Linked DNA regions of Oryctolagus cuniculus. Each later gene encodes a partner of the first gene's protein in a complex. Links are inferred from orthologs where the notes say so. Each region holds a gene or a part of one and is shown in the gene's direction. Other genes may lie near its edges.

What was found.
Region 2: SF3B2 (region 1) and RBMX2 share a complex: the UniProt entries of both Homo sapiens proteins name them as parts of the minor spliceosome. The link is inferred for Oryctolagus cuniculus from reciprocal best matches to the Homo sapiens genes SF3B2 and RBMX2.
Region 3: SF3B2 (region 1) and PLRG1 share a complex: the UniProt entries of both Homo sapiens proteins name them as parts of the minor spliceosome. The link is inferred for Oryctolagus cuniculus from reciprocal best matches to the Homo sapiens genes SF3B2 and PLRG1.
Region 4: SF3B2 (region 1) and SNIP1 share a complex: the UniProt entries of both Homo sapiens proteins name them as parts of the minor spliceosome. The link is inferred for Oryctolagus cuniculus from reciprocal best matches to the Homo sapiens genes SF3B2 and SNIP1.
Region 5: SF3B2 (region 1) and SF3A2 share a complex: the UniProt entries of both Homo sapiens proteins name them as parts of the 17S U2 SnRNP complex. The link is inferred for Oryctolagus cuniculus from reciprocal best matches to the Homo sapiens genes SF3B2 and SF3A2.
Region 6: SF3B2 (region 1) and SNRPD1 share a complex: the UniProt entries of both Homo sapiens proteins name them as parts of the minor spliceosome. The link is inferred for Oryctolagus cuniculus from reciprocal best matches to the Homo sapiens genes SF3B2 and SNRPD1.
Region 7: SF3B2 (region 1) and EFTUD2 share a complex: the UniProt entries of both Homo sapiens proteins name them as parts of the minor spliceosome. The link is inferred for Oryctolagus cuniculus from reciprocal best matches to the Homo sapiens genes SF3B2 and EFTUD2.

What each region holds. Positions count from the first base shown.
Region 1 is NC_091432.1:5,766,885-5,771,099, reverse strand, and holds the start of SF3B2 (splicing factor 3B subunit 2), read left to right. Parts: upstream 1-1,415; 5' UTR 1,416-1,481; coding exon 1,482-1,614; intron 1,615-1,731; coding exon 1,732-1,778; intron 1,779-1,891; coding exon 1,892-1,969; intron 1,970-3,395; coding exon 3,396-3,635; intron 3,636-3,802; coding exon 3,803-3,853; intron 3,854-4,215. UniProt on the Homo sapiens protein: Component of the 17S U2 SnRNP complex of the spliceosome, a large ribonucleoprotein complex that removes introns from transcribed pre-mRNAs.
Region 2 is NC_091453.1:108,064,832-108,067,816, forward strand, and holds the end of RBMX2 (RNA-binding motif protein, X-linked 2), read left to right. Parts: intron 1-224; coding exon 225-402; intron 403-921; coding exon 922-1,430; 3' UTR 1,431-2,485; downstream 2,486-2,985. UniProt on the Homo sapiens protein: Involved in pre-mRNA splicing as component of the activated spliceosome. As a component of the minor spliceosome, involved in the splicing of U12-type introns in pre-mRNAs.
Region 3 is NC_091439.1:11,052,317-11,056,480, reverse strand, and holds the start of PLRG1 (pleiotropic regulator 1), read left to right. Parts: upstream 1-1,364; 5' UTR 1,365-1,466; coding exon 1,467-1,475; intron 1,476-2,808; coding exon 2,809-2,915; intron 2,916-3,230; exon of another isoform or gene 3,231-3,302; intron 3,303-3,971; coding exon 3,972-4,114; intron 4,115-4,164. UniProt on the Homo sapiens protein: Involved in pre-mRNA splicing as component of the spliceosome. Component of the PRP19-CDC5L complex that forms an integral part of the spliceosome and is required for activating pre-mRNA splicing.
Region 4 is NC_091438.1:135,212,801-135,217,099, forward strand, and holds the start of SNIP1 (smad nuclear-interacting protein 1), read left to right. Parts: upstream 1-1,499; 5' UTR 1,500-1,590; coding exon 1,591-1,814; intron 1,815-2,873; coding exon 2,874-2,976; intron 2,977-4,299. Other genes in the region: DNALI1 (axonemal dynein light intermediate polypeptide 1), read right to left, coding at 139-284, 671-784. UniProt on the Homo sapiens protein: Required for pre-mRNA splicing as component of the spliceosome. As a component of the minor spliceosome, involved in the splicing of U12-type introns in pre-mRNAs. Down-regulates NF-kappa-B signaling by competing with RELA for CREBBP/EP300 binding.
Region 5 is NC_091447.1:59,110,152-59,114,377, forward strand, and holds the start of SF3A2 (splicing factor 3A subunit 2), read left to right. Parts: upstream 1-1,426; 5' UTR 1,427-1,582; intron 1,583-2,206; exon of another isoform or gene 2,207-2,313; intron 2,314-2,604; 5' UTR 2,605-2,638; coding exon 2,639-2,764; intron 2,765-2,871; coding exon 2,872-2,943; intron 2,944-3,333; coding exon 3,334-3,380; intron 3,381-3,565; coding exon 3,566-3,675; intron 3,676-3,941; coding exon 3,942-3,991; intron 3,992-4,101; coding exon 4,102-4,226. Other genes in the region: PLEKHJ1 (pleckstrin homology domain-containing family J member 1), read right to left, coding at 138-254, 343-406, 537-627, 701-767, 857-924, 1,003-1,096. UniProt on the Homo sapiens protein: Component of the 17S U2 SnRNP complex of the spliceosome, a large ribonucleoprotein complex that removes introns from transcribed pre-mRNAs.
Region 6 is NC_091441.1:56,034,661-56,038,808, reverse strand, and holds the start of SNRPD1 (small nuclear ribonucleoprotein Sm D1), read left to right. Parts: upstream 1-1,348; 5' UTR 1,349-1,541; coding exon 1,542-1,555; intron 1,556-1,641; exon of another isoform or gene 1,642-1,815; intron 1,816-4,148. UniProt on the Homo sapiens protein: Plays a role in pre-mRNA splicing as a core component of the spliceosomal U1, U2, U4 and U5 small nuclear ribonucleoproteins (snRNPs), the building blocks of the spliceosome.
Region 7 is NC_091448.1:18,115,124-18,118,623, reverse strand, and holds part of EFTUD2 (116 kDa U5 small nuclear ribonucleoprotein component), read left to right. Parts: intron 1-772; coding exon 773-939; intron 940-2,407; coding exon 2,408-2,532; intron 2,533-3,500. UniProt on the Homo sapiens protein: Required for pre-mRNA splicing as component of the spliceosome, including pre-catalytic, catalytic and post-catalytic spliceosomal complexes. Component of the U5 snRNP and the U4/U6-U5 tri-snRNP complex, a building block of the spliceosome.

The sequences.
Region 1 (4,215 bases):
GCCGTGGCCGCAGTTTGGCCCCGGGGACACGCACGTCAACTCCTTTTCGCCGCCCGCCCCTCCTCTCTGCATCCCGGGGCTGTTGGGGTAAAACCAGGCCGCCTTGGTGTGTCCCCCGGCCCCCGCTCTGTCACCAGCAGCCCTTCCTCTCCTGCCCAGAGATCCCCCTTCCCGACAGTGGAGGCACGTGGCTCCGTGCCTGCAGCCTCAGCCGACCTGCCCCGGTGGGCTCTCCGGTTACAGGGAGCAGAAAGAACCTTCCCTCAGGCCGGGAGGGGTTCTGCCTGAGTGGGCTGATGTGCCAGAGAGAAGGGCACCGCTTTTTTTTTTTTTTTTCCCTGTGCTGTTGTGACTTCCCTGGGACTGGCAGCAGGAGCCGTGGGCTGGTGACCTAGTGGGTGGGAGGGAGGGGTGTGAGCCAGGCTCCCCCGGCCCGGTGCTTTGCTCTGCCCCCAACCCTCACCTTCTGGGCTGTGCTCCCGGCTCCCAGGTATTTCTCACTGAGGACAGTTAAATGCAGCTGGGTGGAGAAAGGATCTGAGGGTGTGTGTGTGTGCGCGCGTGTGGTGAGACCCTTTCGTGAGTCTTCCTGTCACTCAGCACAAGGACTCACACAGGCCCTGGAGACGCAGAGCTGGTGGCACAGGTGGAAAGTGAAATGCAGCCGATGGGGCAGCGCAGTCAAACGTGGAAGCTGGGCAGGCAGGGTCCCCTGCTCGCCTCTCCGTGAGCTCGGCAGGGGATGCCAGCGGAGTGGGGCTGACCAAGACCAAAAAAGATAACAAGTGATGTCGCTGAAGATCCGCTCTTCCGGTCACCTTTATTGGGCGCCCCTTGCACGCCAGGGGCTGCAGCCGTTGGATCAAGCCCCGACTCGTCTTTTTCAGGCGGATGTAAGTGCAAAGACCAAGACTTGAACAAGATGGAGCAGATTTGAACGCATTACGAGAACTCCAGGAAAGCCGGAGAGGGCGGGCCTGGAAGATGTGAAAGGGGCTTGGGTGGCAGCGAGCGCTCCACTCCGTCCGTGCGGGCCCGGGCAGACAATCGGCCCGACCTTCCGCTCCCGCCGCGGAGCGAGTCCCTCGGGACCCCCTGGGAACGCAGGCACTCAGGCCTCTCACGCTTGGCCCGGGAGTCGAGCCAGAGGCTGGAAGCCTGCGCTCGGGCGGGCGAGACGCAGAAAGCACTCCCTGGGGCCGGGACTCGCCGCCCGCGCGGCCCCGCTCCGGGCGCCGCAGCCCAGGTCTGCGCTCCGCGTCGGAGCCGCGGCCTCAGTGTACTACGACTCCCAGAAGGCTCGGCGGCCTCAGTACTACGACTCCCAGAAGGCTCGGCGGCCGGCCGGCGAGTCACGTGACAAGCCGAGCTCCCTCCGCCGCCGAGAGGACGTGGCGTGCGGCGCTGCCGGAAGTTCCGGGAAGTAGGCCCCGAGGGCGGCCGGAGCTTCCGGGCTGGTCGCGCGCCTTCCTGTGGCCAAGATGGCGGCCGAGCATCCCGAGCCTCCCAAAGGCGAATTGCAGTTGCCGCCGCCGCCGCCTCCCGGGCACTATGGCGCCTGGGCTGCCCAGGAGCTCCAGGCCAAGTTGGCAGAGATAGGCGCTCCGATCCAGGGTGAGGGCTTGGAGGGGCCGGGAGGGCACCGAGGGTCCGTGGAGACGCGGAGCCCGGTTACCCGGGAGACTGGGGGCGGGGGCGGGCCCGCGCCGCTGACCCGAGCCTCGCCCGCAGGGAGTCGCGAGGAGCTGGTGGAGCGGCTGCAGAGCTACACGCGCCAGGTGAGTGCCGGCGGCCGAGGGGGCCCGCCCGGCGTCGTGGTGGCCGGCCCCGGCGCGGAGGAGTCTCTGGCTCCCTGGTGGGCCGCCCTGGAGCCTCGCTCTCTCTCTCGCAGACGGGCATCGTGCTGAACCGGCCGGTCTTGAGAGGGGAAGATGGGGACAAAGCCGCGCCCCCTCCCATGTCGGCACAGGTAAGGGGGCGCCCCCTTCTCTCGCCTGCGTCGGGCTGCCGTGCGGAGGTGGGAGCTCCGGGTCCGGCCCGCTTCCCGGCGTCCGCGCCTTCGAGTTCTGGCCCCGGGGGTTCCGCTTGAATGCGGCCCGCCCCGCGTGCTGCCGTGTCGACCTCTTGGCCCGCCCCGCGTGCTGCCGTGTCGCTGTGCGAGACTGAACGCGCGGGTGGACTCTGCAGAGCTCGCAGCGCCTGGCACGCCGGTTGTCTCCCGTCCGTCACTTATGCAGGATTTGATGCTTTTCCTCCAGAGAGTGCCTCTGACCCATGGCTCTGCACTCCTTCAGCGGCCTTTGTCTCGCTCTTTCTTTTTTTTGACAGGCAGAGTGGACAGTGAGAGAGAGACAGAGAGAAAGGTCTTCCTTTGCCGTTGGTTCACCCTCCAATGGCCGCCGCGGCCGGCACACCGCGCTGATCCGATGGCAGGAGCCAGGTGCTTCTCCTGGTCTCCCATGGGGTGCAGGGCCCAAGCACCTGGGCCATCCTCCACTGCCCTCCCTGGCCACAGCAGAGAGCTGGCCTGGAAGAGGGGCAACCGGGACAGAATCCGGCGCCCCGACCAGGACTAGAACCCGGGGTGCCGTTGCTGCAGGTGGAGGATTAGCCTAGTGAGCCGTGGCTCTTTTTAAAAGTGTCTCTTTTTAAAAGGTTTATTTATCTACTTGGAAGGCAGAGTTAGAGAGACGGAGGTCTTCCATCCGCTGGTTCACTCCACAAATAACTGCAGTGACTGGGGCTGGGCCAGGCTGAAGCCAGGAGCCAGGAGCTTCCTCTGGGTCTCCCACGTGGGTGCAGGGGCCCAAGCACTTGGGCCATCCTCCACTGCTTTCCCAGGAGCACTAGAGGGAGCTGGATCGGAAGTGGAGCAGCCAGTGCTCAAACCAGCTCCTGTAGGGGATGCCGGCACTGCAGACGCTGGCTTAACCCGCTGTGTCCAGCGCTGGTCCCTCAAGTGTCCTGGAGTCGTGTGGAGCAGCTGTGTTCGTGGTATTTTTCCGTGGAGACAGTCGGTAGCTTTCTTTGGATGGTATCCCAGAGAACTTCCCGTTCTCTTCCAGTGCACAGAGCAGTCTCTTACAGAGCAAGAAATCACGTCTCTGTCTTTTTCCTTGATTTTGAATATTTTTTTACTTATTTATTTGAGAGGAAGGTTTATAGACAGAGACCGAGAGAAAGGTCTTCCATCCGCTGGTTCACTCCCCACGAGCCTGCACCCATACGGGCTGCTGGCATCACAGGCGGAGGCTTAGCCCACTGTGTCCCAGCACCGACCCCAGGATCTCGTCTGACTTGGAATCCCAGTGCCTGGCTCAGAGCAGGCTCCCAGCGGATGCTGGCAGAGGGCGTGGGCGAATGCCTCCTGGCTCACGATCGCATTTTCTCCACAGCTCTCTGGGATTCCCATGCCACCGCCACCCATGGGGCTCCCTCCTCTGCAGCCCCCTCCACCCCCCCCTCCACCCCCACCAGGCCTTGGCCTTGGCTTTCCCATGGCCCACCCACCAAATTTGGGGCCCCCGCCTCCTCTCCGCGTGGGTGAGCCGGTGGCGCTGTCGGAAGAAGAGCGGCTGAAGCTGGCGCAGCAGCAGGCGGCACTGCTGATGCAGCAAGAGGAGCGCGCCAAGCAGGTAGGGCGGGGGAGCCTGGGCCTGGCCTCGTGGGTCCCTGCGGAGAGAGTGGGCTCGGGGAGTTGGCGCCGGGACCAGAGGCAGAACCAGGCCGCAGGCTGGCGGCAGAGCTGGGGCAGGCGGGCCGTGGGGAGTTGTGCTGGTGTGAGCTTGTTTTCTCTCTTAAGCAGGGAGATCATTCACTGAAGGAGCACGAGCTCTTGGAGCAGCAGAAGCGGGTAATGCCCCCCTTCCTGACCTTTGACCTCACGGTCCAGGCCTTGGCTGTCACTTAACCGTGCTTAGTGTGCAGGACGAGAGGCACCGTTCGCGTTTTCTTTGGAGGCTGCCTCATCCCCAGCTAAATTCCAGCATCTCTTGAAGAATTCCGTTGTTCCTCAGCCCACAGGTTGGCAAACCACAACCTGTGGCCTGTGTCTGTCTGAGCTGTGAGCTGAAAATTTTTTTCCTATTTGTAAAGGGTTGTTGTAAGAAAAGCCCAAATCAAGAATGTCTAGCAAAGTCCTCACAACAGCCCGTGGAGGCTGATGCCCACTGGTCCACCACTAGTCCACACGACGTCCCCTTAGGTGCCTTGGAA
Region 2 (2,985 bases), on another chromosome or scaffold:
GAGAACGCTAGTACAACTGTCCCGGGCCCAGCTGGCTGCCGCTGCCCTAAAGGCTGAATGGGTTACCATCTAGGCACACCTGCAGTGATTCAGACTGGTTGAGTGGGTCTGCTGTGGCGGTTTGCGCCGTAATAGAATTAGAGAGAGGGTAATAGATGGCGTTCAAACAGCTGGACAGTTTGAAATGAAGCCTGCCTTTTTGAGACGCTGCCTGTTTTTCTTAGATCAAAGGAAGAACTATCCGGGTAGATCATGTGGCTAATTATCGGGTTCCTAAAGTCTCAGAAGACATGGACGATGTGACCAGAGAGCTCCAGGCGATGGGCTGTGGTGTTAATACCCCCTCACCGAGTTCATCTGAGGATTCTGAAGAAGAGAAACCCATAAAAAAGCACAAAAAAGGTAAAACATTCAAACCCAAGAGAAACTTGGCAGTCTTAGCATCTGTTCCTCCTAGAGTTCATTGATGGTTGATAATCGGGTCATAAGTATGCGAAGGAGAGGTGGGGGGACCTTATTTTAATTGGGGAAGGGGAGGTGTCAGCAGAAGACTCCTGTTCTGGGTTGAATTGTGTTCCCCAGAATCGACACGTTGAACTCCTCACCCCTAGTCCACTGTGACTGCATCTGGACATGTGGTTTTCAGAGAGAGACTGGAGTGGGAATGGCCGTGCCCAGCAACTTGACGTTGCGGGTGACAGACATCGAAGTTGCTTCCCCGCAGCACTTTCCCAGAAGCACAGGGTGACGGCTTCACGCTGCTGCCCAGCCTATTTTCCTTGCCCATGGGCTCCCCTCCCGGCAGGCAGGCATTGGTAAACTGGTCTACCTTTGCTGGATGTCACGTACACGGAGAGGAAAGACATGGCTTTAGGGAGTTCTATTTCCCTTTTGTTACCGATTGTCGCCCTTCTTCTCCAGACAAAATGGAAAAAAAGAAAAGACGGAAAGAGAAAGAGAAAGAGAAGAGTGACCGGACAGTACTGGTCGAGCAACCATCTCCCTCTTCCTTGCCCAGAAGCAAGACAATAAAGGAAAAGGATGAGCCTGGCCCTAAGACAAGCAGCACCAAGGGCTCCGAGAAGGTGCCGAAGTCGGAGTCCAGGGAAGCACGGAAGCACTACCCTGTCTCCCCTGAGGTCAGAACTGTCCCCCGCGGTGGAGTTGAGGACCTGGCCAGGGAGCTGAAGAAGGAGAAATCCAAGCATGAGCACAGGTCCTCCGACAGGAGAGAGGCCAGAGAAGAAAGGAACAGGGATAGGGACAAAGGACGAAGCTCAGACGCGTGTTCTAGCTGGCACAATGGGCATTCGGATGGGTGGAGCCATCGGAGTAGAAGTCGGAGCCGAGATCGATCTCACAGACAGAAGAAGTCCCGTAGCTCCCGGGAGCGGGAGTCCTCAAATCTCAGTGAGCGTAGGCGTCACTGAAGCCAGTTCAGCCGCTCGGTAGATCTGGAAATGAAATGTGTTTCTAAAATGCAGTCAGATTCAGCTACGCCATTACTTCTCCATATGAAATCTCTAGAGCTGATTTTTAAAAAATCCCTTGAGTAGTGGAGTCCTTGAGAAGGCTGTGGTTTCATTGGCAGATACCCTGCATTTTCTAGTACAATCCATCATCCCTGGAAATATACTTGGAACTTAACAGAGAACGTGTCCTGAATTTTCGTTCATAAATTGGCCATGGGGCCCATAGCCCCCCCAGCTTGAGATGAAATTGCCAGAAAAGGAAAATTACAGACAATTCTAGAGGCCTAGTCTTTGTCTTCAATGTTGAGAACCCAGCATTCTAAGACTTCCAGTTAGCAGGTAGAACTGCAGTGAAGTGTGGTTTAACTAGGTTCAGACAGCTGGAGGTGAATGTGATGGGATTCTTTTTTTTTTAAGTATTAATTTTATTTATTTGAAAGGCAGTGTTACAGAGGAAGGGAGGGAGAGACACAGAGATCTTCCATCTGCTGGTTTACTCCCCAAATGGCCACAACAGCCAGGGCTGGGCCAGGCTGAAGCCAGGAGCCAGGGACTCCATCCAGGTCTCCCACATGGGTTTGGGGACCCAAGTACTCAGGCTATCTTTCACTGCTTTGCTGGGCGCATTTAGCAGAGAACTGGATCGGAAGTGAAGCAGCTGCAGCTCAAAACTGTTGCTCATCTGAGATGCCAGCATCACAGGAGCCAGCTTACCACTGCACTACAACGCCAGTGCCTGATGGGATTCTTAAGAACAACCAGCTCCCTCTCTAAACCCTGTTTGAAAACAGCTTTAAATGTCTTGTCTTTTTCTTTTTTTGGTTGAGATATTTTTCCACATACTTTTTTCCCTTGGAATTCTTTGTATTGATGTGAAATGCAGATAACATAAAGTTAACCAATTCAAAGCAATTCAGTGGCACTTATATTCACCATGTTGTGCAAACACCACCTGTGTCTAGTTTTGAAGCATTCACATTGTCCCCAAATAAAACCTAATACCTATTAAGCAATAACGTGCCATTACCCCTATCCTCCCTGTCCCTGGAAGCCACCCATCTGCTTTCTGTGTCTATGGATTTGCCTGTTTGGGATGCTCCACAGAGCAGGAATCACACAGCAGTGGCGTTTTGTGTCTGGCTTCCTTCACTAAGCATAATGTTTTCTAGGTTCATCCATGTTATAGCATGTATCAGTACTGCACTCTGTTTTAAGGCTCAATAATATCCTGTTGAGAGACCACGCTTTGTTTCTCCATTCCTTGGGACGGACGTTAGGATTGTTTCTACCTTTGGTTAGTCAGCTTCCTGTTTTGTGTGCAGACACGCCAGGCGACCTTCTGTGCTTGGTTTGCTTTTCACGTAGCCGCTCTTGCTCAGGTGGGAACACTGGTAGCTCCATCGCACACCTTTGGTCTGATTGGTAGTTCCTTCTCATTTTGAATCTTAGTTTCTATTATAGCACTCAGCCCCTTATGAATTTGGCAGGAACTGGTTCACAGGCCCTGCTGCAG
Region 3 (4,164 bases), on another chromosome or scaffold:
AACACAAAATTTAGCCGCACTACACATAATCCATGTATCTCTGAACTAGGTAAGAGGGTCACTCGAGCTTTGTAGACCATAAAGCTTCAAGCACAGTACATAATTCTGTATATTCAACAGTGCTTTAAAAAGAGTAAAAAGTAGTTCAATTTGCTTCAATCACTACAATATTTTATAAGAGTCTGGGTTTATAAATTAAATGTCTCCAGGATTATCGAACAAGCTTACAAGTCCAACTAGACAGTTCTTGTATTGTCGGATACATTGGAGTCTTGCTTACATTTCTAGTTTGTCATTTAAAAACATTCTTTTCCATAGTAATTACTATTCATAGGTGAGTTATATTTTTATTCCCTATGTATACGTACTCTACAGCATTTCCTTGCAAAGTGTCCTATCCTGGGCCACTTTAACAGAAAATAAAATCTGAAGTCAAACTCGCATTCAAATTCTGAGATGATGGTATTTTCAAGTAAAAACATAACCTTAATGTTTTAAATAAAATTAAAACTTCGTGAATTTCAGGAGACTGTTGAACCACTTTGCCCTGTTCTTGCTGGAGACTCCTCCCACGCGCCCCACTGCACCCCAGACCCGCAGTATGCGCTGGGGACAGGATCAGTGAAACTGATGAGGGTTAAGGGAGAACCGGGGCCACCGAGATGACTGTAGATCTGTTTGCAAACACTCAACTACATCAATTTTGTAGCTGCATCGTGGCATTACTGAACCCATATTCACCAACAACTAGGCAGTAGACAAGTGGTAGGTCGTTTATGAGAAACTAAAACACTATGTAGCCCAAAATAAATGTGGGGCTGTGCTGAATGCGGTAAAAGAGTTATTCTGCAGACATGTCCAAATTTCTCAACCTGAAACCACGGTTCTGCAGCATGCCTTCCCACCAGCGCCGCTGGATTCTGTAAGCGCAACTATTTCCAAGCGCTGAGAACGCACCAGGCTCTAAGCGCATCCAGCCAGGCGCTGCAATCAGCCGACCCAAACGCGGAAGGCGACCCCTAAGTCAGTGAGACCGTGTTAGGGCAGGACCTCAGAGCCCAGGCAGGGTCGCTCTCCAGAACGCCCCCCGTCCCCCGCGCTGATTTCTTAACATTTCCGACTAAAAGCCATCCAGCTTCCAAGGAATTCAGCACAACGGACCAGGGCCCCTAACGCACTGTAAAACTGATTCAATTTGGCAGAAAACAGTATTTTGACTCGTTCACAACGCTCTGCGACACGTCCCAGCCCTGTCCGTTCAGACTCGGCCCCAGGCGCGAGCAGGAAGGCCCGCCCCCCGCCCCTGATCCCGAAAGGCCGAGCGAGCGGCGCGCGCGCGCAGCGCTCTACGTCATATCCGGCGCCAGGCCGTCCGATTCCGGAAGTGGCTGCCCAGTTGTGGCGGCGCTCTCTGCGCGGGTGATAGGTGTCTGTTCTGCAGGAGAGCTGGGGTACACGGCATCATCATGGTCGAGGTAAAGTGATGGTCGGGCGCTCAGGAGGCGTTTGCCTCTGGAATGTTTTATTTGGCAGCGCGCTGGGGGGATGGAGCGTGCTGGGAGGCTGGAGAGGGAAGAGGCTGCCAGGGCAGCTGTGTGGCCAAGGCCAAGTGGTCTCTTCTTAGGGAGGTGCTTTGCGCAAAGGGTCTAGGGTGCATGGAAACCCGAGTCTGAAGCTCCGTCCGGCGGGGAGCCGTAGATGATTTCTGCAGTGCTTGTCTGACCCCCGGAATCCGGGCTCTGACCTCGGAGGCGGGGCTCCTGTTGATGTCCGACCCCTGGCCGGTTGTCGCTGCCGGCGTACATAGTGGCACTAATTCTGCCACCTAAAAGACTCTGGCGGTCAATTCACCTCGTGTTTCAGCCCACGCCAGGAAAGCCTGCCGTTCTTGATGCCTTACGTGTTTTTCCCACCTGGTTTGAACATTAGCAGGCCTTGCTCGTCTTACTGCGAACATTGCCTGACGCCATCCTCTCTGGTCCATATCCGCTGCAAGTCATCTTAATTCAGACGGACGTTATCTTTAGCCAGGAGCGACGCACTGGCTTCCAGCTGACTTTCTTCTTTTTTTGCCCTCCTATAAATTGTTCTATGCAAGACATAAGTTGGCCATGGTTTTCTGGCTTAAACCCCTCTCCTGTCCCTGTGACAATAGGACAAAACTCGAGACTGTTGGAATGGTCTAAAAAAGGCCTTTCCTAACTGGACTTTACCTGCCTTGGCAACCTCGGCTTACTCCGCATCCCACCCTGTCACCCAGCCTGCACCCCGGGCATTATTTCAGTCCTTGGTCACCTTTGCACTGGGCATGTGCCGCTGCCTGGGCTGCGCTTACCTGTGTTCCCTCCTGTCTGTTCGGACTTCGCTGCAGAGCGCTCTTTCGCCGTCATATCTGGTTCCTCCTGTGTTCTCTGCCTTGGCCTCTTGTCTTTATAGCGCTTACCCAAGTGTGGACTTGCTTTCCTAGTTTTGCTTGTCTTCTTCCTCCTGAGTACAAGGAGCGTGCTGCCTATCATTCTGTTGTCAGCTTTAGCACCGTGCTGACAGAGAGGTGGAGCGAGCCTAGTAGGTATTTCCTGAGTAAGGGGGTACTCTCACCTCACTCAGCTGCTCTAGCCGAGGCTCTGGCGATGAACTTGACCCCTTGTAGCTTGCTGCAGGAGTAGCTGTGGTGAGTGGTATGGAGCGTTCGACATTCTCACACACGTAAAGCGTCTGATGAGTTTGACTGTAATTCAGGTTACGCTGTGGGTAATTTATAGGTTAAGTGTGTAATTACACACACACACTCTCTCTCCCTTTCTCTAGGAAGTGCAGAAGCATTCTGTGCACACGCTTGTGTTCAGGTCCTTGAAGAGGACCCATGACATGTTTGTAGCTGACAATGGAAAACCTGTGCCTTTGGATGAAGAGAGGTAGGCATAGTTTTCTTTCATTTGCTAAAATTGTTAAAATTCTAATACTGGGAGAAGAGATCAGGGAAAGGGAGACCTTTAAACATTACTTAGTAATACTTGGTTTTACTCATGTAGTACTCAGGTAGTGCTCATGGACTGTCTCTTTAATGAAAGCTCTTTGGGCATAATTTTAACTGGTTTAACCTTTCTTTTTTTTTGGCCTTTATGGTAAAGAATCCCATTAATTAATTGCATTTTACAAATGTCCGGTAATTAGGAGAGTCCCGTTCAGGTATTTTATTTTATAATCAATCACTTTGTATGTGCTTTCAGCTTCCCGCTGCTCTCAGAGCCTTGCTGAGCTGAAATTGTACCTGGCCAGTACTTCTACTCCCATCTTTTCTCGTTAGTATGGTGAAGATTGTTGAGTGGGGGCATAGTTTTGGTTCTACATCTCCAGCTCCAGTCTGGGATTGCATTATGTGCAATGTTCCTTCTTTGTCCTTTGCCCTTCTTTTTAAAACTTAATTCCTGAAACAAATATTTCTATTTCATTTACAAGATGAGGTTTTCTTAAAAGTAATATAAGTGCATTTCTTTTTAAAAATACTGAACTAATTTAGTACTTTGATTAGTTCCAACTAACCTTTCTAGATACATCTGTTTAAGGTTACTGAGGTAATTTTTACTGTTTTTATATTTAGATATATGAAGGAAATAAGTGTAGGCCTTGAAAGAATTTTTAAGGGTATATTAGTTTCTATATATCTTTAAATCAGTTTGACCTTTGATAACTAATCATGAAATGTTTTATTTATTAAGTGACAAATTAAAATATTACTTGGATTTAATGCCTGCCATGTGATAAATTGTGAATTAAAGTAACTACATATGATGTGGAAATGCACTTGGAAATTTTAGGTTTTTTTGAAATATTGTTTAAAATCTTACTAGAAACTTATACGTCACTGGGCAAACTTAAATTATGTTTCCTAGCTATCTGTAAACACTTAAATTTGTGAGTGTATTTTACATATTTAAGGATACATTCTTATGTTTATAATTTTTAAATAGTCACAAACGAAAAATGGCAATCAAGCTTCGTAATGAGTATGGTCCTGTGTTGCATATGCCAACCTCGAAAGAAAATCTTAAAGAGAAAGGCCCCCAGAATGCAACGGATTCATATGGCCATAAACAGTATCCTGCCAATCAAGGTCAGTATGGTGTTATCAGCAATATTTGAGAAATATAAAAACAAATAAAA
Region 4 (4,299 bases), on another chromosome or scaffold:
AGATGCGGTCTCCTGCCACCCTCTGGACTCGGCTCCAGGCCAGCAAGGGAGGAAACCCTGGCCAGGCACGGGGGCCGAACGCCTCTCCCCACACTACCAAAGTCTGGTCTTCTCCCAGCCTCTGCGCCCACGCTTTACCTTGGGGGCAGAATGGCATTCAAAATTTCTTCTGCCTGCTTTGTAGGATCTGGGACACAGGAAGTTGAGGGGAGCTTGGTCTTGGTTATCTGTGGGATTGGACTGGAGGGTCCCGGCTGCTGGGGGCTGGCTTTCAGTGGCCGAGCCTGGGAAGAGACGATTCAGGCCTTCAGCCCCCTGGACGCCTCCGGGTCTTGCGCACCCCCTCCCCTACCCCCAGCCCGTGAAGAGTCCCTGGTCCCAACGCAATGCGCGGACCAGTGTTTCTGGAGGAAGCGGTCAGGCGTCTGCGCTCCCACCTGTAGCGGTGGGGACATCGCGACCTGACCTGTCCTTGAACCCGACTACCGGGAGAGGAATCCCTACCGTCTGTCTCCCCGCGACCAGGTCTAACCTGCGGCGCTCACACCCAGCGACATCTGGACCACCCGGACCACTCGCTCCCTCTCCGCCCGTCCCAGGGCCCGTCCCCGGACTCCGGACTCTCGCCGCGGGGATCTGCCTGGCCCGGTCCCCCGAGGCCCGTCCTCACTTTGGGGCTCCGTTTCTCCGTGTTCCGGCTCACCAACACCGGGGTGTCGTACTTGAGCAGAGAGTCGGCCGGGGGGATCATGGCGGCGATGGGGGCCTGGTTTGCGGTCACCATGGAAACCGCCCCCCCTCCCGGCCGGGGCGGGGCCTCGGGTGGGCGTGGCGCGGCGCGCGGACGCGTCCCGCGCAGCCCTGGCGCTCGGCCCCGGCACTCGGCGTCTTAATCTTGCTGCCAGCCGGGTCGCCCGGGAGACGGGGGTTCGAGTCCCTGCGCTGCGTATAGCGCGCAACTTGCGTGATTGGGTAGATCCCCCTTCGCTGAGCCCCAAGATTGTCACCTCAGTGAAGGGCTGGAGACCATTCCCCAAAAGAGGGTCTCTGGAATCCCCAGGGCTTTAAAAAGTATTCCTCAAGGTTAAATGGCGAACTGACATAGCAGGATTTGTCCACGGGCTACTATGATTGCATTTTTGTATTTCCAAGGCCAAATGGAATCACGGTTGGCGCGCAGTTTCGTCGCCTTCCTCTACCGTGTCGGTCCGGGCTTTTTCCACAAAGCGGTATATGGTTCGTGATAACGTTACTAATAGCTACGTAATGCCCAGTGATTGGCTAAGGAGCCCCCTACAGCTGTACACTGAGGTTGCCCACATGCTCTGTAGTTACGCGGTGAAGAATTAACTTGAGAGGTTCGCTTTTCCCCAGTAGTTTGCTTTCCAAACTTAAAACTCCCGCCCTTCGGGCCGGCTCCCTGCAGCCCCGCCCACGGGGGGGGCGCCGTCACATGTTCAGCGCTCCGCCGCGAGGGTTGCTGGGAGAGCTCACACCCCGGAAGCGGAAGTCCAGAGGTCAAGCTCGTCATTTCCTTCGGAGAGAGTGGCTCAACGGACCTCTTTTCTTTTGCCCGACCCGAGTCGCAGAATGAAAGAGGTGAAGAGCGAGCGGGAGCGGAGGAGCCGGCGGAGGCACCGGGAGGGGGACGTGGCGGCGGCGGCGGCGGCGGTGGTGGTGAAGCAGGAGCGCCTCAGCCCGGAAGCCGAGCCGCCCGCCCCCCGCCGGCCGGACCTCGGCGCTACTCCGTCCCCGCCGGCCGGCGAGCCGGGCCGCCCTGGCCACCGCGGGAGCAGAGCCCGGGGAGAGAGCCGGTAAGCAGAGAACAGCCGGGGTGGACCTTGGGTCGGACTCATTGAGAAAAGAGCACAGGGCCGGCATCAGAAGTGGGTTCTGAATGCCGAGCCCAGCAGCGGGAGGCGGTGGGAGTGGCCGGGTCGCGCTCGGGTAAAGGCGTGTGTGCTCCGGTGCTGGTTACTTGCGTGACAGCTGGGGTCGAGCTGATGCCTGTGGGTCAGGGCCTCGCCCCCTCTTTCGTGTGTCGCCAGCACTTCGCGGAGCGCGTGGCCCAGCGGCTAGCACTCATCGTCCGTTAAGTTGAAAGATTTTCCCCCCGTCTGCCCGCGCAGGGAGTGCGGGCGTTGTCTTCGCCCTTATCCACCCCACGCGAGTATAAGCGATCTGCTAGGTGCACTGTTTGTTCATCGTTCAGCGTACTTTTACTGAATGCCTATAGGGTACTAAAGAGTGCACTAGGGACCTGGGCCACACGGGTGAGGCTTTCGTGAAATTGGACGAGCTTGAGCCCCAGGAAGACTGCCAACATGCAAACAAAACAGTTTCCGATGGCAACAGGTCTCAGGGCTAGGTCGGCCCAGTAAGGTGATCGTGAGAGACTGGAAGGAAGCGGGGATAGAACTCTTTGAAAGAGGTGCCGTTTGAGCAGAGACCTGAGTGATCTGGCCGCCGAGGAAACGTGCAAGGAACGTGAGCTAGAAGTCGTGATCGTGGAGGAGGAGGAGGATGGTAGCGATGAGGTGGGCCGGGGAGGAGGTGCCTCCCGTGAATTGTGGTGATGAGAGTGACTTCTGCATGGTGGTGGGCGAACAGCCAAGGGACAGACCTGGACAGGAGAGTCTTCAAAGGGTAGGGGATGGAGAGCCGTGTTCCCTGAGTGAGGAGGATCCGAGGCTCCGAGGCAGCGGCGTAGGCGGGAGAGTAGGTGAGGAACGGGAAGCCCCCCGGCTCCTTTGGTGTGATCAGCAGTCTTTCACAAATGTGTTTGTGTTAGTAGGTAAGCCCCATACCAGAAGCTAGCTTATGTGGGGGAAGGGAAACTGAGATAAAATCCTGTGTGTACCATGCCCTGAAAGGTCTCCAGCCAAAAAGAAAAACAAGTCCTCGGGGAGAAGAAGCAAGTCTCCTCGGAGCAAGAGAAGTCGGAGTCCTCACCACTCGGCAGTCAAAGTGAAGCAGGTAAGTGGGCTGGGGTGTGTTGAGGTGGGGTCTTAGGCCAGCGCCTCTTCCTGCCACCGCAGCCAGGGAAACAGCCAGCCAGAAGCACACCCACAGAGACAGCACCTACACCTGCAGCGGGCTTTTCTGAAAACTGAGTGTGTGAGTTTGTTTTGGTTGTTGGTAAATTTCTGCTGGTTTTCTTAAGCTTTTTTATTTTGAGATAATTACTGATTTAGATCAGATTTAATAAAGACAGGTGTTTCTCCCAATGGAAGCATGGTACAGAAGTGTAGTCACAATATCACAATCAAAATATTGGCATAAGTTACAAAACGTTTTTCCTGCCACCTGGACATGGCATGTTGTCCTGTTATAGCACACCCACTTCTTTCCCACCTTCTCCCTTCCATAAGTCCTGGCAACTTTTAATCTGTTGGCTTAATTTTGTCATGTGTCAAGAATGTTACAGGCCGGCGTCACGGCTCACTTGGCTAATCCTCCGCCTGCGGCACTCGGTACACCGGGTTCTAGTCCCGGTCAGGGCCCCGGATTCTGTCCTGGTTGCCCCTCTTCCAGGCCAGCTCTCTGCTGTGGCCCGGGAGTGCAGTGGAGGATGGCCCAAGTGCTTGGGCCCTGCACCCGCATGGGAGACCAGGAGAAGCACCTGGTTCCTGCTTTCGGATCAGCGCGGTGTAGCGGCCATTAGAGGGTGAACCAACGGCAAAAGAAGACCTTTCTCTCTGTCTCTCTTACTGTCCACTCTGCCTGTCAAAAAAAAAAAAAAGTTACATAAGCGGCATCACACACCATGTAACCTTTGGGACTGGCTTTTTTCACTCAGCAAAGTTCTTTGGCATGTAGGTTGTTGCATTGATCAGTTCATTCCTTCTTCTTGAGTGGTATCTGTAGTATTAGTTTAGCCGTTTGTCCATTAAAGAACATCTAGGTTTCCAGTTTTTGACTCTTACACATAAAACTGCTGTATAAACATTTGTGAACAGGTTTTATGTGAACATAAGATTTCATTTCTTTGGGATAAATGCCCAGGAGTATAGTATATAGTATAGTATAGCATATATAGTATATATGCTATATATTATACTATAGTATAGTATAGTAGTTGCATGTTTAATTTTTAAAGAAATTGTTTATTTTCCATAGTGGCTGTGTTCGTTTGCTAGGACTGCCATAACGAAATACAGACTAGGTCGCTTAAATGTTAGAAACTTATTTTCTCGTTATTCTGAAGTCTAGAATTTGAAGAATAAGGTGTCAAATAAGGTGTCAGGTTTAGTTTCACCTGTGTGGGGGTAGGGAACTGCTTTTTGGCTTGCAGGTGGT
Region 5 (4,226 bases), on another chromosome or scaffold:
GGTCTAGCTCCGCTCTACATTCAGCCGGTCCAGGACGGCCGGTGCCGCGGGGAGGGGCCTCGCAGGGCGGGGACCCCCAGAGGGCAGCCCCCGCCTCCGCCAGGAACCCCTCCCACGCAGGCTCGGCCGGGCCGGGGTCAGTCCAGCGCGTCCAGCCCGGGCCCGGGCCCGGTGCCCGCCGGCCGCCCGTCGCTGGGCGGGCTGCTGATCTGGAAGCGGGCCTCCGCGGAGATCCCGAACTGCTCCAGGGGGTCCTAGGGCGGCGGGCGGGGAGACGCGGTGACCCGGGGCCCGGGGCCGGGAGCCCCGCCCGCCCGGCCGCCCCGCACGCGCCCCCCGCACCTTGCCCGTCATCTTCTGGATCTCATTCCGGTAGAAGATGAGGCTCCTCCGCATGACCTCGTAGCTGCGGGAGAGGCCGTGCCCGCGGGGTCAGGCCGCCGCCCCCGCCGCGCCCGCCGCGCCCGCCGCCCCCGTCGCGCCCGCCGCGCCCGCCGCGCCCGCCGCCCCCGCCGCCCCCGCCGCCCCGGCCCCACCTGGCCCTGCGCAGCGCCTCCGTCCACTGCCGGCACTGCTCCTCGCTGCCGCACTCGAACACGTACTTCCTCTCCGGGTCCTCCAGGAAGCCTGCGGGAGCGGCCGCTGTGGGTGCCCGCGCCCGCCCCGCGCCCGCGCCGCCCCGCCCGGCCCGCGCACTCACCGATGGAGAAGCTCCGCGCCTCCTCCTGGGCGACCCGGCAGCGCTCCAGCAAGAGGGCTCCGACGGGCTGCGGGCACACGCGCCGTGAGCGGGGCCGCCCCGCGCCCGCGCGCCCCGCGCCGCGCCCCGCCCCCGCGCCCCGCGCCCCGCGCCCACCTCGGCCTCGTCCGTGCGGAAGTAGAAGAGGAAGTTCACCACCAGCTTCACCAGGCGCCGCTTCAGCACTGCGGGCACACAGCGGGCTCAGGGCGGCCGCGCGCCCCCGCGCCCCCGCGCCCCCGCCCGCGCCCGCGCCCGCTCACCGCTGCCCTTCTTGGGGCCCCGCATGCCCAGCTCAGCCGCCATCTCGGCCGGCTGCCGGGACAGCGCCTGCAGCTCCTTCTCGTTGTAGCGCATGGCGCCGGCGCTGCCCGGGACCGGGAACGCGCGCTGCTAGCTCTGAGCCCTCTCGGCCGCCGTCCCCGCTCGCGCCAGAAAGATCCCAGGTCGGAGCCCCGGAAGCGCCATTGCGCCTGCGCGCCACGGGCGAGTCTTGCGCGCTGCGACCGCGGCGTGCTGGGGCGTGGGTACACGCCGGGCAGCCGCGACACAGCCGCGGAATAAAGTGGGTCTGAGGCGCAAGCAGGATCGAAGGACCGCCGAGCGCGGGCGGACGGGGCGTTACCGGTTCCCGCCCCCGCCCCCAAGAGCCGACGCGGGTGCGCGCGCGGAGCGCGTTGTGCGCAGGCGCGCCTCGGGCACGCGCATGCGCACACTCGAGGGCCCGTCCTCCCTCCGGAAGTGCTGCGAGCGCCCGCGCCGCGCGTGCGCACTGCGACGTCGTGGCGGCGGCTCCTGAGGCGGACGGCGGAGGCCTGCGACGCGGGGCGCGACCCACACGAAGTAGGCGCGGGGGCCATCGGGGCCCCGGGGCGCCCAGGGTGGGCTGGGGGCGCGGGAGGGAGGGGCCGGGGCGGGCGGCGGGCCCCACGGCGACCCCGGCCCTCCGGAACTCCGCGGCGGGCGTCGCGGGGGTCGCGGGGGTCTCGCGTCCGTCCGGGGCGGGCTCCGGGGTCCGGGGAGCGGCCGCGGGCCTTCGGCTGCTCGGCGGGGCGGGCCCGGGCCGCGGGGCCGCGCGCGGGGGTGCGTGCCGGCGTTCCCGCCAAAAGCCGCCGGGACCCCCGAGGCCGCCCCCGCTGGCGCCTTTGTCGTCGTGGGGGTCGGTCGCGGGCGCCCGGGGGGCTGCGGGGCGTCCCGGGTGCGGACGGCGATGCGGCTGCGTCTTAGATTTCCCTCCCGCAAGCCTGCGTGCCCGGGGCCGCGTCTTCCCCTCGGTCCGCTGTCCGACTGTCCCTTCGCGTGGTTCCCCCTCCCCCAGCCCTGAGGTCCTGGGTTCGCGTCCCGATGGAGGGGCTGTGGGGCCGCCAGGGCTCGTGCGTGGACCGCGGGCGGGCCCGGGTCGCCCTGGGGTCAGCCGGGGGCGGCTCGTGCGTGGACCGCGGGCGGGCCCGGTAGCGCCCTGGGGTCAGCCGGGCCGCCCGCGCCGTGCCCGGAAGTCGGGGTCGCAGGGGCGGGGTCTCCTCCCGCCGGTCCAGTCCCCGGAGGCCGGGCCGGGCCGGGCCGGGTCAGAGCAGGTGCGGGGCCCGGGCCGGCAGCCAGGACTCGGGCCAGTGCCCGAATGGGGCCCGAGCGGCCCCTGCCGTCCACGGGGAGGCCCAGCCCTGGCTTAGGGGCATTGGGGAGTGGACGGCGGGGGGGCGCCAGGCGGTCGTCCGCGCCCCCGTTCTCCCCGACGCCCGCGGCTGGGCCCGGCGGCTGACACGGGAGAGCCCGCGTGGGTGCGCCCGGGAGGGGCTGGGGGCTGCCTCCTGGGGTCTCCGGCCCCCGCCGCGTCCTGAGGGCCCCCCCCGGTCTGGGCTCCGCAGGCTTCTCCGGCGCTGAGGTCCGCAGGCCGGCACCATGGACTTCCAGCACCGCCCCGGCGGCAAGACCGGGAGTGGGGGCGTGGCCTCCTCCTCCGAGAGCAACCGGGACCGCCGCGAGCGCCTGCGGCAGCTGGCCCTGGAGACCATCGACATCAACAAGGTAGGGCCGCCCGCCCGCCCCCCCGCGGGGCGCCCCCGACGCCCCCGACGCGCCCGACGCCCCCGACGCCCCTGACGCCCCTGACGCCCCGCGCCGCTCTCCCCCAGGACCCCTACTTCATGAAGAACCACCTGGGCTCCTACGAGTGCAAGCTGTGCCTGACCCTGCACAACAACGAGGTACTGGCCGGCCTGGTACCCTGCCCCCGCCCCTGCCTGCCCCCGCCCCGCCCACCGGCCGGCCTGAACCCCTCGCCCCCGCCCCGCCCACCGGCCGGCCTGGCCCCCCCCCTCCACCGGCCGGCCTGATCCCCCCCCTTCCCGCCCTGTCCACTGGCCGGCCTGGTCCCCCGCTCCTGCCTGCCACCGGCCTGGCCCCGCCCCCAGCCGGCCTGATCCCCCCGCCCCCGGCCTGACCCCCGCCTGCCGCTGCCCCACCCCCCGGCCGGCTTGGTCCCCCCCTCCCGCCCTGTCCACTGTTCGGCCTGGTCCTCCCCCACCCCGCCTGCCGCTACCCCGCCCACCGGCCTGGCCCCGCCCCCGGCCTCATGTCCCGCCTCCTCCACGCAGGGCAGCTACCTCGCACACACTCAAGGGAAGAAGCATCAGACCAACTTGTGAGTGCCCCCCGCGCCCCCCGGCTGTGACACGGGGGAGGGCCCCTTGACCCGCCCCCCAGCCGCAGGGCCCCGCCCCTCACCCCCCCCGCGGGAGCCCAAGGCCGGGCAGGGGGGCTCCTGCACCTGCGCCCGTGGCCTTGGCCTGGTGTGGAGGACCACAGCGCCCGTCTGCCCCGCCCCAGGGCCCGGCGCGCAGCCAAGGAGGCCAAGGAGGCGCCCGCCCAGCCCGCGCCCGAGAAGGTCAAGGTGGAGGTGAAGAAGTTCGTGAAGATCGGACGCCCTGGCTACAAAGGTGAGGGGGCGGGGCCGCCCGACACCAGCCCTGGGCGGGGGGGGGGGGGCAGGCGGGGACAGGCGAGGCCCTGGGCAGGGAGGGGCAGGCGGGGACAGGCGAGGCCGTGGGGCTGTGGGCAGGCGGGGTCCTGGGCACGGAGGGGCAGGCGGGGCTGTGGCGTGCAGCCCTGGGCCGGCCCTCTGAGCTGGGACCTGGGCCTCACCTGCCGCCCTGGGCGGGACGTGGGGCTGCGGGGGGGCCCCTCACCGGCCCTGGTGTTGCAGTGACCAAGCAGCGGGACACGGAGATGGGCCAGCAGAGCCTGCTCTTCCAGGTGGGCGGGGCCGCGGGGTCGGGGGGGGGGCCGCGGGGGCGGGGCCGGGTGGGGGCTGCGGGGGCGGGGGGCAGTGGGGGCTGGGGGCCCCTGACACTGCCCGCCCGCAGATCGACTACCCCGAGATCGCCGAGGGCATCACCCCCCGGCACCGCTTCATGTCGGCCTACGAGCAGAGGATCGAGCCCCCGGACCGGCGCTGGCAGTACCTGCTGATGGCCGCCGAGCCCTACGA
Region 6 (4,148 bases), on another chromosome or scaffold:
TTCGATGTTTAGGCTGGTTTTTCTGGTTCTATGGACATTCCCAGTAGCTCCAGGAACTACTACCAATCTATTACATTCAAAAGGGAAGAACATTCTATGCAAAGGTCTGGTCGGATCAGTCCTAATGTGGACAAGTAAAGGAACCTGATCATTGACATAAAGGGTAGAGTCAGCTTCCTGAGGACCACGTGCGTCTCCAGAAGAATACTGAGAACTCTCGAGAAGAAAGGGGAGTAGAAGAGGTTGTGAGGACTGCTCACAAATATGCCTCATAGCTTTGCTACTCAAGTTGTGATCCATGGACTAGGGAAATCTTCAACTGAAGGCTTCTGGAAATGCAGAATTTCAGGCCCTACAACAACTGAACCAGAATTTTCATCTTCAAATTTCCTCAATGGGGCTGGTGGTGCGACATAGCGGGTAAAGCCGCCTCTACAACACCAGCATCCCACATGGGTGCCAGTTCAAGTCCCGGCTTGCTCCACTTCTGATCCAGCTCCCTGCTAAGGCACCTGGGAAAGCAGCGGAAGAGGGCCTAAGTGCTTGGGCCTCTGCACCCTTGTAGGAGACCTGGAGGAAGCTCTGGGCTCCTGGCTTCAGCCTGGCTCTGCCTTGGCTGCTGCAGCCACTTGGGGAAAAACGTATGGTTGGAAGATCTCTGACTCTCCCTCTTTCTCTGTTAACTCTGATTTTCAAAATAAATAAATCTTTATTTAAAAAATTCCTTGGGTCTGTCCTGTGCACATTAAAGTTTGATGAGCATTGCCTTACAACATCCTAGAGTTCTGGTGATCATGGATGAAGTTCAATCTAGATTTACAAATTAAAACCATAGTTTTGGAGGAGATCGCCCAGGCTAAAGGAGAAAGTTTTCCTAAAAAGGACTACAGCTGTAAGCCCTGAAGCATCCTGACACGTGTAAAGACTCAGAGGCCTAGACAGAACAGCTAGTGGGTTAGGGAGAAACCCAGAGTGCTTGGCCCGGGAAACAAAGGTAGAAGGTATTTCAAAACTGAAGTGTGTTGAATGTTACTGAGACGTTGAGTACGAGGAAAACAGACAACTGTGTCTCGGAAACATAATTCTGCAATTTTCTTCAGATTCATCAGTAATGCTAAATAAGGTTCTTGGTGTTGGACCAGAATTCGCAATAACCTGTGTTTCTCTCAAAACCGCTCTTTGTTCACGGAGGAAGTTGTATTTGGTGCTTCGCCAACGCGCCCCGCCGTGCCGAAGCGTGATGGCGACTGCTAATTGGATTTAACTGTTCAAATCGCCCTCTCCTTAGACAGACAGTCACGCCCTCAGCCTCTGCAATGCATACCTCCGGCAGCGAGGGGTCGCAGTCGCGCTCCCCTTGGCCGGAAGGCAAAGTGGCCCAGCAAGGCCTCGGCGTTTCCGCCGCACGTCCACAGTGCTCCGCGCGCTCGCTACGTCCGGAGCCCGTGGAGTAGGCGTTTCCGGCCATTCATACGCCTAGCCGGTCCTCGGTAGTTGCATTCTCTGCGTTATCGAGCAGAAAGGACGATTGCGCCGCTACGATGAAGCTCGTGAGGTGAGGAGGTGGCCGAGCGAGGCGGGGGCTGAGCCGTAAGGGTTCGGGCCGGGCTCGGGAAGCTGAGCGGTCCCGAGGCCGGAGGCGGGAAAGCCGCGTGCGCGCGGCCTGCTAACGGCCTGCGGCGCCCGCCGCGCGCGCCCCATCTTGGCCGCGGCTCCGGGTCGTGATCGATCGTTCTTCAGCCTCGCCTGTCTTCCAAGAGGCGGGCTTGAAGACCGAGCTGCGTCTTGTCACCTGCTGCCTTGGGGGCCTTGAAGGTGGCTTGGTCTCGCGTTAGTTACCCATTCTCATTGTGCGCATGGAGCTCCCGTGGGTCTGAAGACGGAGTTTATCATGGAAATAAGGAAGCCTACTTGCAGCATGTTTTAGATCAGAGAGGAACTAGTTTGCAAGTTGTGATTTTAAAGTTTTTGGTCTCTCTCGATGCTCCCTAGACTTTTGATCAGAAAAATCTCCCACTATGAGGCAAAAGCCAATACTTTTTGATTGTGGCTGGTTACACATAGCTGGTAATTCCTCCGGTTTCCTTTCTGCGATTGTGTTGCTTAGTTGAGCCTACTAAAGGATTGTTTATTGATGTTTGTAATTAGTTCCAAACTGCTTGCAGATAGGTTAGATTTTGGTGCTTTACATGGAGGCTGAGCCTGCAGCCCAGCGGTGGTTTCTGGTACTAAGCTAGCGGTTGGAAGTATTTGACGAGTTTCTTTCCTCCCAAGTCGAGACTGGCAGTGCTGACCAGTTATGGGGCACCTGTTACAGTTACTGTGTGCCGATAATAGAATTTTCTTAAAGGCAAGAATCCCTGCCTTGGAACTTTTTGTTTAGTGCTGAAGACAGATAAGTGGTTAACATCTAGTATGTTTGAAATACAGTTATACTTTATGGGTGGAGTTTGTAGAGAAGACATTTAATGTGAATGTTCATTCTTATTTGAATTATAACTTTGTATAACAGTCTCAGAACTCAGTGTATTTTTATATTTCTCCATACCTGCTCGTTTGAATCTTAATGAATTTTTTTTTTTTTTTTTTTTTTTTTTTTTTGTCACTGAAGATTCAGTTTGTCTCATTTGAAAATAGCACATGTTCTAGCAGAATTTCCCTGTAATTTTTAACGAGTGTGCTGAATCCCGTTCTGTGTCTTAGGTACTAGGTAGATACAAACCCTCTTGTGTCTTGCCTCAAGAAAATGGTTTGACTAATTAGTTTGTGTATGCTCATTGTATTTATTTCTGCATCTCAGTTGGTGGCATTATCATCCTTATCCTGTCACCCTAGCCAAAACCAGGGAGACAAACTTCACTTTCTTAAGTGAAGTTCAGTGTGTATTTCCTGAGAGTGGAAAAATTATACACTAGTGTAACCCAAACCCCTGCCATGGTAAAATACCAAAACCTCAAGAAGTTCCCTTAAGCTATCTCAAGTCAACTTTTAGCTCCACATCCACCAAAGCAATGTGTTTCTTCCACTGTAGTTTTGCCTGCAGTAGAATTTATTCTTTGGAATAAAAAAAGACTATATGTCTTTTTTATGTTTGCTTAAGATTTCTTAGCATGCTCCTGAGATTCATCAACATTTAGTTTTGCTTTTTGTTACTTTAAAGATTTGTTTATTTAAAACAAGGCAGAGCAACACAGAGAAGTGCCTCCCAACTGCTGATTCGCTTTCTAAGTGCCACAACAGCCCAGGCTGGGCCAACTGAAACCAGGAGCCAGGGATTCTGTCTGGGTCTCACACGTGGGTGACAGGGGCCCCAAACACTCTGGCCATCTTGGGTTGTTTTCCTAGGTGCATTAGCAGAGAGCTGGATCAGAAGTAGAGCAGCTGGTACAACAACCTGCACTCTGTTACGGAATATAGGAAGCTGTCCCAAGTAAAGGGTTAACCTGCTGAGTGCCGCCCACCCCCAGTATTTAAAAAAAAAAATTTAATTGTAGGATAGTAGTCCAATTGTATGTTTTAAAATGATATGTTTTGTTTAAAGCTGTTTTGAACATCCTTATGCAAATCTCTGTATACATAGCTTTGATTTTTCTTGGGTAAATACTTAGGAGTAGACATGCAGAATCCTACATAGGGTATACTTAGGAGCAGACATGCAGAATTCTACATAGGGTAAGGATATGTTTAACTTCATAAGAAATGCCCTACCATTTTTCAAAGTGCTTGTACCATTTTAAACTTCTAATAGCAATATGTTAGACTTCCAATTGCTCCACTTCCTCACCAGCATTTGTTGTTGTCAATCTGCTTAATTTTATGGATTTTAGTGGGTATATGGTAGTGTTTCCTTAAGTTTTAGTTTGTATTTTTCTAATGACTAATGCTTATTAGCTATTTGCACATCTGTTGTGATGTTATGTTTGAATCTGTTGTTTATTTTGATGGTTTCTTTTTATTACTGGGTTGTTACAATTCTGTATATCCTGGATACCAGTCCTTTGTCATATACGTATGTATATATATTTTTAAGATTTATTTTTTATTTATTTGAAAGAGAGCGAGATCTTCATTCGCTGGTTCACTTCCCAACTGACCACAACAGCTAGGGCTGGGTCAGGCTGAAGCCAGGAGCCCAGAGCGTCTGCTGG
Region 7 (3,500 bases), on another chromosome or scaffold:
TAGAAACAAGTATCTGGGTGTGCTCATTGCCACCGGGGTACATTGCCTGTGCCTGTAGGTTCTTTCACAGAGTACAACTAGATAATATCCATGCACACATGCATACGGATATATGTAACTATTTCTACACGTGTGTATTCAAAATCATTTGTCCACGGGCAGGCATTTGGCATGTGGTTAAGATACTGCTTGAGATGCCTGCAACCTGTTTCAGAGTGCTTGACTTTGAGTTCTAGCTCCACTCCTGATTTAACAACCTACGCATGTGCACGCTGGGAGGCAGTGGTGATGGCCAAGCACTCGGGTCCCTGCCAGCCACATGGGAGACTCAGATTGAGTTCCGCTCCTGGCTATCGCCGGCATCTGGGAAGGGAATCAGTAGATGGAAGTGCTCTCTGTTTCTCTCTCTCTCAGTCCCTCTGCCTTTCAATTAAAACAAGCAAATAAATGTATACATAAATGTTTTTTAAAAATCATTTGTCCATCCTAACATCCCCCAGTTCCCATCCAGCACCACAGTTGTTGCTGGCCTGCCTTGTCCTTTCTCTAGCACTGAGAGTGTGTTTATTCATTTCTTAGTCCTACAGGGTGTCCTCTGAAAGTGCCCGCATCTGCCTTTGGCGAGATGCTGTCTGCTGCTGCCCAGCAGTGTGTTTCCCCAGGTTCTCGTTTGCCCTCTTGCTTCATGTTTGGAAGCGGTGCCCTTTTGGCTCTGCTCTGGACTTTCTGTCCTCTTTGCTGTGTCACCACCTTCAGAGCCTGTGTTTCTCAGGTGATGCTGAACACTGAGCGGCTGATCAAGCACGCGGTGCAGGAGAGGCTGGCGGTCACCGTGTGCATCAACAAGATTGACCGGCTGATCCTGGAGCTGAAGCTGCCTCCAACCGATGCCTATTACAAGCTGCGCCACATTGTGGATGAGGTCAATGGATTAATAAGGTATGAAACTGCTGGGAGTGGATTTCCGGTCCTCAGGGACGCTGGTTTTTATAAATCTTAATTTTACCCTTGAATACCTTTGGGAGCAACTCTGATTTACTTCTTGACGTGTGTGGATGAGCTTGTTGGGCAAGACTGGAGGCGCATCTCAGGTCTTTACAGAGATTGCCTCCACGACCTTGACCTCAGTACCTGTGCCTTAGCCAGTTGTGACCTTCGTGCATCTTTAATTTATTGTCATGGGCAATACCTTGAGCTCTAGGATTGGTCTCATCCTAGCTGCGTACCAACTACATGAAGTAGGGAAAATAAGTTAAGCTCTCTTGTAGAGTCTGGCAAATTACATAAGCTCAGTTTCCATTTCTATAAAAAATGGAATGATGGTAATATTTGCCTAGAGGGATGTTACAAGAAATTAAATAAAGCCAGTCTTATCTGCAGGCTGAAGTATGTACTGAACGACTCCTGAGACCCCTAAGTGGGCGAGGACACGGCCACTGGGAGCTTGTCTGACGGCTGGGGCCGGTGACAGCTCCGCTGCCCGCAGCTGCCCCAGCCTGCGGCACTGCTGCCTACTGGGAGTGTCTCCTCCTCATCCCTGGAGTGGTTGGGAATGGCTGGAGCCCAGCCCAGCGTCATGGGTCCAAAAGATGAAGTAATAGCACTTCTTTTTAAAAGGAAGGCTGGGGGTGGGATGGAACTAAATCCTGATCTACCAGGATAGAAAATCAAGAGGGCATGTTTGAAACCTCAAAATCAGAAAGCAGCAAAACAGTATTTAGGGATATGGAGGTAAGTACTCCAGGCAGCTATAAAATGGATTGAAGCCGCTTGCCACTGGGGAGCAGAATGGGGGGTGCAGTGGGATGGATAGGGGCCGTTCTTTATAAGCTAATGCTTTCGTTTCCAAGTGAGAGGATCCCATAAAATAATGTGCCCGTTAGGATAGAGTTGTGGGTGTGACCCCTGTGTACAGCTGATTTTCTTACAAATGCTCGTGACCTTTTGAGGTGCTTGCGGTTTAGCATTCATGTTTAAAAGAAAGCCGAAGACTACAGGACAAAGAAGAGTAGAGGATAAATTACCTCTGTGTCTCTCTCGCTCTTTCTCTTATGTTTGTGTTTGTGAAGTTGAGATTTCTCTCAAATATATTCATTTCTTATCACTTTAGATTCATTTCCCGTCTTCCAAGGTCTTTGTCTCTGTCCTCCACATTTGCCCTTGTCTGTCTGATGTGGTTAGCTCCTCCAAGGTTGTGCGGAACGTTCCCGGCTCTGAGAAGCCAGCTTGTTACTGAGAGTTAGGGAACAGCTCCATCATGTCACTTCCTTGGACCAGGCTGTTGGCCAGACTGAGCGTCTTATGCAAGCTCCTCCTGAGGGCTGGCGAGTGGCTGTGTAGGCATCCCTGCCCGTCCCCCGTGGCAGAGGTCAGGGCCTGCGGCACGCTTACCCTGTGTCTGTTGCAGCATGTATTCCACTGACGAGAACCTGATCCTCTCCCCGCTCCTGGGCAACGTCTGCTTCTCCAGCTCCCAGTACAGCATCTGCTTCACGCTGGGCTCCTTTGCCAAGATCTACGCCGACACCTTTGGTGAGCTCAGCCTGGCACTGTCTTGCCAGCCTCCCCAGAGTCCTGTGTGCCTCTCCCCTGAATGCCTCAGAGGTGGCTTCGCATCACAGTGTCCTGCTGGGGAGAGCATTTTGCTGCCTTTTATAGTTACAAGTGAGCCTCTTTTTGGCCTCCAGACCAAAAGGGGCTGAGTGGCTTCAGAACAGTAGTAAGATGAACGTGACTGGGAGCGAATGGGAGAACAGGGGGCTTGTCTTAAGCATAAACGCTTTAGAGCGAGACAGATTCTGAGAAGTGCAAGTTTCCCATGCGTACAGAGGCCTTCCAGGCCTCCTGCTCACAAGTGGACTCTCCCTCACCGTGTGTGCTGCCAGCGACTCTCCAGCCCGATCTAGGCACATGCACATTTGCAAGGCCTGGTTGAGAACTCAGGCTGGACGTGGAGTCAGCACATGCGAGCCTCCGCTACAGACCCAGCTGAATGATTTCCCAGGTTTCTGCAACCGTGACCCCCAGTCTCCGTGCCGCTTCCTGGCTGTCTATCCCTGTGCCTCCCAGTTACCACAGATTCCAACAAGAACCCCGTACAGAGAGTCTGTTGTGTGTCAGGTGCTATTCTGCCTTCGAGGGGAATCCCTGGTACCCCATTTACCGAGCTGAGGGGCCAGGCCCTGTAGGGTCTCCCAGTTGGTAAAGCCTGGAGCACCAGCACTGCTGCTTGCCCATTGGTTAGCCTGCCTCCCCTGCAGGTGGACACCTTGCTCTCATGAGAGAAAGGGTGGGTAAACCTGGATCCTTTTAAAAACATGTAGCTATTTAATTATATGCACATTGTAGAAAATATATTAAAGCCTAGTTGAAAAAAAATCAAAATTCATACCTAACTTCATTACCATAACAAATTTTAGTACTTTGTTATAATTCCCTCTGTTATTTTATGTAAATTATATCATATTACTTAGATTGATATAAGGGATCTTAAAAGTTCA